Linked DNA regions of Arabidopsis thaliana. Changing the gene in region 1 together with any one later gene gives a genetic interaction. Each region holds a gene or a part of one and is shown in the gene's direction. Other genes may lie near its edges. The genes, in order: CSN5A and RAC10.

Region 1 (3,932 bases):
TTATGTTATTTAATTATAGATTTTAAAAACTTTAATGAAATCCAATGTTATTAAACTAATAATTTAAAAATTAACTTTAAAATCAATTGTTATTGAAAACAGTTTGTGGAGTTGATTCTTATTCATCTTGAAAGATTTGAGAAAACTTCTTTAGTTACAAATACACAAATTCAAATCTCATGGTTTTAGATAGAATTTGAAAAGATTTCTATAATTTTAAGAAAGTTGATGTGATTAATTGTACAATCTTTTCAAATTCCATCTACAATCATGAGATTTGTTTTCAATAACAGTTGATTTAAAAGTAAATTTTAAAATCGTTAGTTCAATAACACTTGATTTTAATAGAGTTTTTAAAATCCATGATTGATAAATTTTACACAAATCACTTAAAATACTAGATTGAATACACTTCTACAAAATCATCAAAATCATATAACTACTTACCCTCCCCCTCCCACCCCCCTCTAAATTAACCGTCATTTTAACAAAAACTGCATGTAACAAAACTTTCAAATTTTACCGAATGTGACAAAACTTTCAAAACTGCATGTAACAAAACTTTCAAATTTTACCGAATGTGACAAAACTTTCAAATGGGACAACACTTTCAAAAACAGCAACATTTACCACATGTCACAAAACTTTCAAATTTTACTTTTATACTTTCACGTAATCTAATTCTATTACCACTTTGTTAGCAACCACTCCTTCCCCATGATCTCAAAATGTATCCTCTCCTCTAAACTTTCTTCCACTTTTTTTTTTATAAGTAATTGTAACAGTCAAACAGATGCATTAACTTCTTCTTTATTGCTCTTCTTTCTCACAAACTCAGAAGATCTTCCATTTTTTTTTTCAAAATCCAACTAAAGGCAATTATGTTTTATTTTGCCAAAATATTTTGATATATGATGTAATTTGGCATTTATTTTGTATCAGCATAGCAGGGGCGGCCATAATCTTAGTATATGCATATAATTGAGGCTGCTCTTAAATTTTAGCGTATTTATATTGTAGTGAATTCTTTGTCTTGTATAATATTTTGGATGTAGGACCTGAATGTTGGTACATGAAGACAATCTAATATTTTTAAAGCAGTTATCATTAAGCATTTAAGCAAGTAATGAAACACAACAACACGGTAGAAATTTAAGCAAGCACTTTGATGATCTCTCTCCTTAACTCAAAACATCTTTATAGTATTGTTGTGTTTCATTATTTGTTCTATGTTAATTGCTTTACAAATATTACACTGTGTCCTTGTACAAATATTTAGGTCTAATGCTAAAACTAATTTTTCTTTTGATTCGCAACACTCAAAATAAAAAACTGATCGAAAGCTAACCTTATGTTATACTCTCTGAGTTCTGACACAAACAAGAGAAGAAAAGAGAGGAAAGTGATTTAGATGCTTTGATCGATGATAGAATGAGAAGACAAAAGCTTGACTTTATAGCTAAAGATCAACGTCTATGCCATAAAGTCAAGCATAATTCACACAATATATAAGTTGAACATGCTATCAAAATAAGCTTACTACATTGGTGAAATTATGCATGTGTGGATATCTCAAGAAATATGCATGAGATGCATTACTCTTCTTTTACGCTTTGTGATTTAAGATATTGTATGCCAAATCTATGTGTTGCCAACATTGATTTCTATACCAATTGGTTGATACAATGACTGGAATTTATCCTTTGATTTGCCAACATTGATTTCTATAAAAGTTAAACAAACTAAAAATAAAAAGGGAAAAATATTTAATAAAAAATGTACAATATTAAATTTCCATAAAAATTTTATATGGTTAATGTTTTGGATTAGCATTAGTCCCCAAATCCCATATTAAGTAAATCCATTTTGAGTTTTGTTCTCGCAAACCGGTTTAACCCAAGAACCCAAAGATCTCTCTCTATTTGTTTGCCTTCTTCTTTCTTTCTGACTCAAACCCTCAAATCAATTCTCGCGATTAAGCAAAACCCTAGATTTATTCTACTCTTCGAAGTCGATTTCAATGGAAGGTTCCTCGTCAGCCATCGCGAGGAAGACATGGGAGCTAGAGAACAACATTCTCCCAGTGGAACCAACCGATTCAGCCTCCGACAGTATATTCCACTACGACGACGCTTCACAAGCCAAAATCCAGCAGGAGAAGCCATGGGCCTCCGATCCTAACTACTTCAAGCGCGTTCACATCTCAGCCCTTGCTCTTCTCAAGATGGTGGTTCACGCTCGCTCCGGTGGCACAATCGAGATCATGGGTCTTATGCAGGGTAAAACCGAGGGTGATACAATCATCGTTATGGATGCTTTTGCTTTGCCTGTTGAAGGTACTGAGACTAGGGTTAATGCTCAGTCTGATGCCTATGAGTATATGGTTGAATACTCTCAGACCAGCAAGCTGGTAAGATATCTCTTATTCATCTCTCGCTGTAGCTCCTTGTTTAATTAGCTAGTTGCTACTTGGATCCTTTATGCAAGATTTTGCGAGTGTTTGATTGATTGGTTATGACTGTAACTTTGAACTATAGGCTGGGAGGTTGGAGAACGTTGTTGGATGGTATCACTCTCACCCTGGGTATGGATGTTGGCTCTCGGGTATTGATGTTTCGACACAGATGCTTAACCAACAGTATCAGGAGCCATTCTTAGCTGTTGTTATTGATCCAACAAGGACTGTTTCGGCTGGTAAGGTTGAGATTGGGGCATTCAGAACATATCCAGAGGGACATAAGATCTCGGATGATCATGTTTCTGAGTATCAGACTATCCCTCTTAACAAGATTGAGGACTTTGGTGTACATTGCAAACAGGTATGTATAATTCTTATTTATCGATTTTAAAACTTGGGAGGGTTTTAATCATCGATCTTATGATTCATTTTTTTTGTATGTGGCAGTACTACTCATTGGACATCACTTATTTCAAGTCATCTCTCGATAGTCACCTTCTGGATCTCCTTTGGAACAAGTACTGGGTGAACACTCTTTCTTCTTCCCCACTGTTGGGCAATGGAGACTATGTTGCCGGGCAAATATCAGACTTGGGTAAATTCTTGTATATATGAAAGAGCAAGTTAATTTACTTTTCATCCAGGTCGTAGTTTGATATATCCTCTTTTCTTACCATTTAATTGTTTACATGATGAAGCTGAGAAGCTCGAGCAAGCGGAGAGTCAGCTCGCTAACTCCCGGTATGGAGGAATTGCGCCAGCCGGTCACCAAAGGAGGAAAGAGGTTTGTCTAAATGGTTGCTTTAGCAAAATTATTTGTTATGTTCTCAATGTTTATTGACTGTCTGAGATACTGGACCATGATCTTGAGCTCATACACTTGCCACTTTTCAAGCTTGTTCCTGTGTAGAAACTTTTCATTTGGCTAATTAACTGCTACTATCAACATCTAGCAACTTGGATTAAATTTGAACTTTTTATTCTTAGGCATTATGTTGACTGGATATTGACTAATAGAAACTCTACCTGCAAAACACTATGTTTTACCTTTTCTGGGTTTGAAATTTCACAATTGAGTGTATGTTTAGTCAAAAATATACAGAGCTATTAAAGTTTGAACTAGTAAAACAGGGAGACTTTGATGTATCAATTTGTCAACGAGTTGTTGCCAATAGTCTATGTCTGCTTCCTAGAGTTCTGTTATCTCTGGCTGTGTGACTCATTTTGATATTGTTTTAATCTTCTTTACATAAAAACATTTGTTTTGGAGATTACATTACCTAAGTATATGTGTTGTGGACCACTTTCAGGATGAGCCTCAACTCGCGAAGATAACTCGGGATAGTGCAAAGATAACTGTCGAGCAGGTCCATGGACTAATGTCACAGGTGAGTAAATACAATCTGACAATGCTGATCCTATTTCCCCTTGCGGTTAATGGATCCATGAAATTGACTTAAAAAGTCTTTCATCC
Region 2 (3,932 bases), on another chromosome or scaffold:
GACCAAAAGAAACAGCAAATTAAAGAAAACAATAAAAGAAGGGACCGATAGGAACAAAGAGGGAGAAAACACGTGACCTGGCAAGGGACTTCCATTACGTGGGTCGGCTCGTTTCGGATGTGGCCCATATATTGAGTTGTCGGGCCCGTTGCATTTGTTTGTTGAGTTCATATGATATATTCGAAAAAACTTTTACTTTTTCAATATTAACCCAACTTCAAATCCAATAACCATATTTCTTACTGCCAAAACTCGGATTTGTGATCTTCAAGTCTTTTTCACTTTATGGATAATTTCCACTGTTAATCACGTTTTGCTTTTACGCGCATCAACTGTTGTGGAAATATATATTTATCGTTTGTTCTTGTTTCTTTTCAATGACGCTATCCTTACACCAGCACGACATATGCTCCTGTTACATGTCTTCCTTAGAGACCAAAAGTTATGGATTCACTTGTACACACATACACATATATTGATTTAGTTTAATGTGATTACTAGTCTCCTTTTGCGATTTTCGTTCTTACTAGTCTCTATATTTATCTGGTTTAGGCCATACTTTTGTCATTGTATTGTATTATTAATCAGCTACTTTAATTTGTACTTGTATTTTGGAGCTTTTGGTGGAAATAACTTGCAAAATACTAAAATATTGGACCAGAGAGCGATAAGTTCCCGTGGTCGTCCTTTTGAAGACCTCTCTAGTTAACAATACTTTTGCATTTTCATATTTATGGTGGTTGCGTCGCCGTCGATATAGTCGTAGGTATTACTCCAATAATTAACTTACCTTATAAAATAAAATCATTTATCTTCTGCTTTTGGTAGATGTTCACACAGTTTGGCTCCAACATCCACCTATAAATGATTATTTAAACACATGACAAAAACACTTTTACTTTCTAAACCATGAGTCTGCAATTATATCCATAAACAAACAAAAAGGAACTATTTGGTAAGAGTATTCAATTTTTAATAACTGTATTAAAAGTTGCTTTGTGAATATTGAGAATTTTTATTGCTGGTTGTTGCCAACGAAACTCTTGTTGGCAATTTTAAATATCTTGAGTAAATTAAATTAGATGATAAGTTTTTTTAAAAGTAGGTCCACATAAAAAAATCCATATATCCTAATATAATAAATGAATATCCTAAACTAAAATTACAATTTTAGAATTATCAGTTTTACACTTGTGAATTGTGATATAAGTAATGTTGAAAGGTTGGTCTTAGTGATTTTGCTATAAATTTTTGTTGCTATGATATTCTATTATTTTATATATTTTGTAACCCTAGCTTGTAAGTTATGCTATATACATTATATGATATGTAAGTCTCGAGAGAAAAACAAAAATAGCAAAACATGTATTCGACAGTACATGTTAATGTATACAAATATGGTATATCCATCTTCACTTGTCACTGTGTGGCTCAACGTGACACTATTATTAACTTGACGAATATCTACCTTCTCTTATAATTCGATTCGTAACGCCATACTTGTATGTAATACACATTATTTCATTTTCTTACAATCCAATACAAGTGTAATAAACACTTAAAAAAAAAAAAACAAGATTGAACCACCAAGATTTGGTTAACAAATTCCAATGCAAATTTGCTCGTTGGAGTAATAAATGAACTACAAGAATTTGGAAAAGGAAAGCTTGGACGATGGATCATGTGAGTCATCACCGCTCTTTCTCTATCTTCAAGTTCAAACCAAAAACAAGCCACCAAATACCAATAAACAATTTCGTTTATCTAATTGGAAATATTGAAAAAACAAACAGAAAAAAGTAAAAAAGGAACAGAAAAAAAAGCCATAAATTTATGCAACAAACCCTACCTTCTTCTATGCTCTAAAGAGGGTTTATTTATCTTTTACTCCTCTTTTTAAGTAATCTCACTTCATTTATCTCTCTCTCTCTCTCTATTTCTTTTGCTTCCTTTTGGTATTTGCTTTGTATGTTTGTTTTGAGATCAAAATGGCTTCAAGTGCTTCAAAGTTCATCAAGTGTGTGACTGTTGGTGATGGTGCTGTTGGTAAAACCTGTATGCTCATCTGCTACACCAGCAATAAATTCCCCACTGTAAGTTCTCTTTAAAAAGACCTCTCTTTCTCTCTTGAATTTTGATCAGGAATCTCATCTGGATTTATCAGATTTAGCTCAAATTTTACAAAATTTTAATCAATTTCAGTATCTGGGTCTACTAAATTTCAGCTTCTTATTGCCATAAAGGTTCTTAGAATCTATCTGGGTATGTCAAAGTTAGCTCCTTTTTCCTAGGAACTGTGCATGATATAAGATCCATTTTTGGAGATTTTGATTTTTTTTACTTTTCATAAGTATGTGTGGCGCATCTGGGTTTTTGCAGCTTTTGTGTATAGTCCAGCTTTATGTTATCTTTTTTCATTTAACATCCTCTGGAGTCTGGATTCGTCAGACTTTTTCTTCATTGCTATTATTATTATTATTATATGTATATATGCTTGATTTGATGATTGAAAGTTTGAAACTGTGTATTGATTTGATGAATTGTTTGTAACAGGACTACATACCAACAGTTTTTGACAACTTTAGTGCAAATGTTGTTGTTGAAGGCACCACTGTCAATTTGGGGCTTTGGGACACTGCTGGTATGAACACTCTTTCTGAGTCTTGAATCCTATAGTGGTTTATAACATTCTTATTGGTCTAGTTCTTTCATTTGGTTGATAAATGAGATCCATTGAATAGCTTTGTCTCATATGAGGTTACATATGTATATCCTTTGTTTGCAGGGCAAGAAGACTATAACAGATTAAGGCCTTTAAGTTACAGGGGAGCAGATGTTTTCGTCTTGTCTTTCTCATTAGTCAGCCGAGCTAGCTACGAGAATGTTTTTAAAAAGGTCTGATTGAATAAATGATCCTTTTCTCTAATTGTTGAAAACGATAAGACTCTTATAGTGTCAGAATGAGTCATTTCTAATGTTATATGACTGTTCTTATTGAGTCAGTGGATCCCTGAACTCCAACACTTTGCTCCAGGAGTTCCCCTTGTCCTTGTTGGTACCAAATTAGGTAAGAATAACCGATGAGCATTTACCAACAGATTCCTCTTAACCGTTTAGTTACAATTCATAGCTAATGATTCTTACAACACTGGTGTAGATCTTCGTGAAGATAAGCATTATTTGGCTGATCATCCTGGACTATCCCCTGTAACTACTGCACAGGTTTAGTCTTAAAGAGCCTTTTTACTTTAGATTTCATATAATTCCACTATAAGGCTTGATGGTATTAACTAAATGAACATTTCTATCTGATAGGGAGAGGAGTTGCGTAAGCTAATTGGTGCGACGTATTACATTGAGTGTAGTTCAAAAACTCAACAGGTATATGAGGCAGCTTCTTTATGTTACTCTTTTCTTCGGATTAACAAAGCGATGAAGTTTATATATTGCAGAATGTGAAAGCAGTTTTTGATTCTGCGATAAAGGAAGTGATCAAACCTCTGGTTAAACAAAAGGAGAAGACTAAGAAGAAGAAGAAGCAAAAGTCGAATCACGGCTGTTTATCGTGAGTATATATACAAATCTTTACAAACTCTGCATCTACAATCTTATGAAGGGTACTGATTTCACCTTTGTGTTTATTTTGTATGTGCAGAAATGTTCTGTGTGGGAGGATAGTGACTCGGCATTGATGACGATGACCCAACTCAGTCTGATGATTTTAAACTCCACTTTTGAGATTGTGTGATAAACGAGAGACTTTATATTATATAGATTGAATCATGTAAGAGATTATTAGCCTCTAATCAATCAATAGTTACCTTGAAGAGAGAAAGAGGGGGAGGTAGAGAGCTTATTATTAATTCAATTGTGTTTATTTGTTTCAAACCTGTTATTGCAATATATTAGCCATTTTGATACAACAGAGAAGC

The links.
Region 2: of CSN5A (region 1) and RAC10, a change in one rescues a mutant of the other (synthetic rescue), as found in Arabidopsis thaliana (one study listed by BioGRID).

Annotation. Positions count from the first base shown.
Region 1 is NC_003070.9:8,109,984-8,113,915, reverse strand, and holds the start of CSN5A (COP9 signalosome 5A), read left to right. Parts: upstream 1-1,854; 5' UTR 1,855-2,020; coding exon 2,021-2,410; intron 2,411-2,537; coding exon 2,538-2,819; intron 2,820-2,905; coding exon 2,906-3,053; intron 3,054-3,156; coding exon 3,157-3,242; intron 3,243-3,768; coding exon 3,769-3,846; coding exon of another isoform or gene 3,847-3,918; exon of another isoform or gene 3,919-3,932. UniProt on the Arabidopsis thaliana protein: Probable protease subunit of the COP9 signalosome complex (CSN), a complex involved in various cellular and developmental processes such as photomorphogenesis and auxin and jasmonate responses.
Region 2 is NC_003076.8:25,235,248-25,239,179, forward strand, and holds the start of RAC10 (RAC-like 10), read left to right. Parts: upstream 1-1,715; 5' UTR 1,716-1,988; coding exon 1,989-2,093; intron 2,094-2,553; coding exon 2,554-2,641; intron 2,642-2,785; coding exon 2,786-2,895; intron 2,896-3,003; coding exon 3,004-3,067; intron 3,068-3,157; coding exon 3,158-3,222; intron 3,223-3,315; coding exon 3,316-3,381; coding exon of another isoform or gene 3,382-3,452; coding exon 3,453-3,565; intron 3,566-3,655; coding exon 3,656-3,692; 3' UTR 3,693-3,932. UniProt on the Arabidopsis thaliana protein: Involved in local disassembly of cortical microtubules when associated with ICR5 and KIN13A.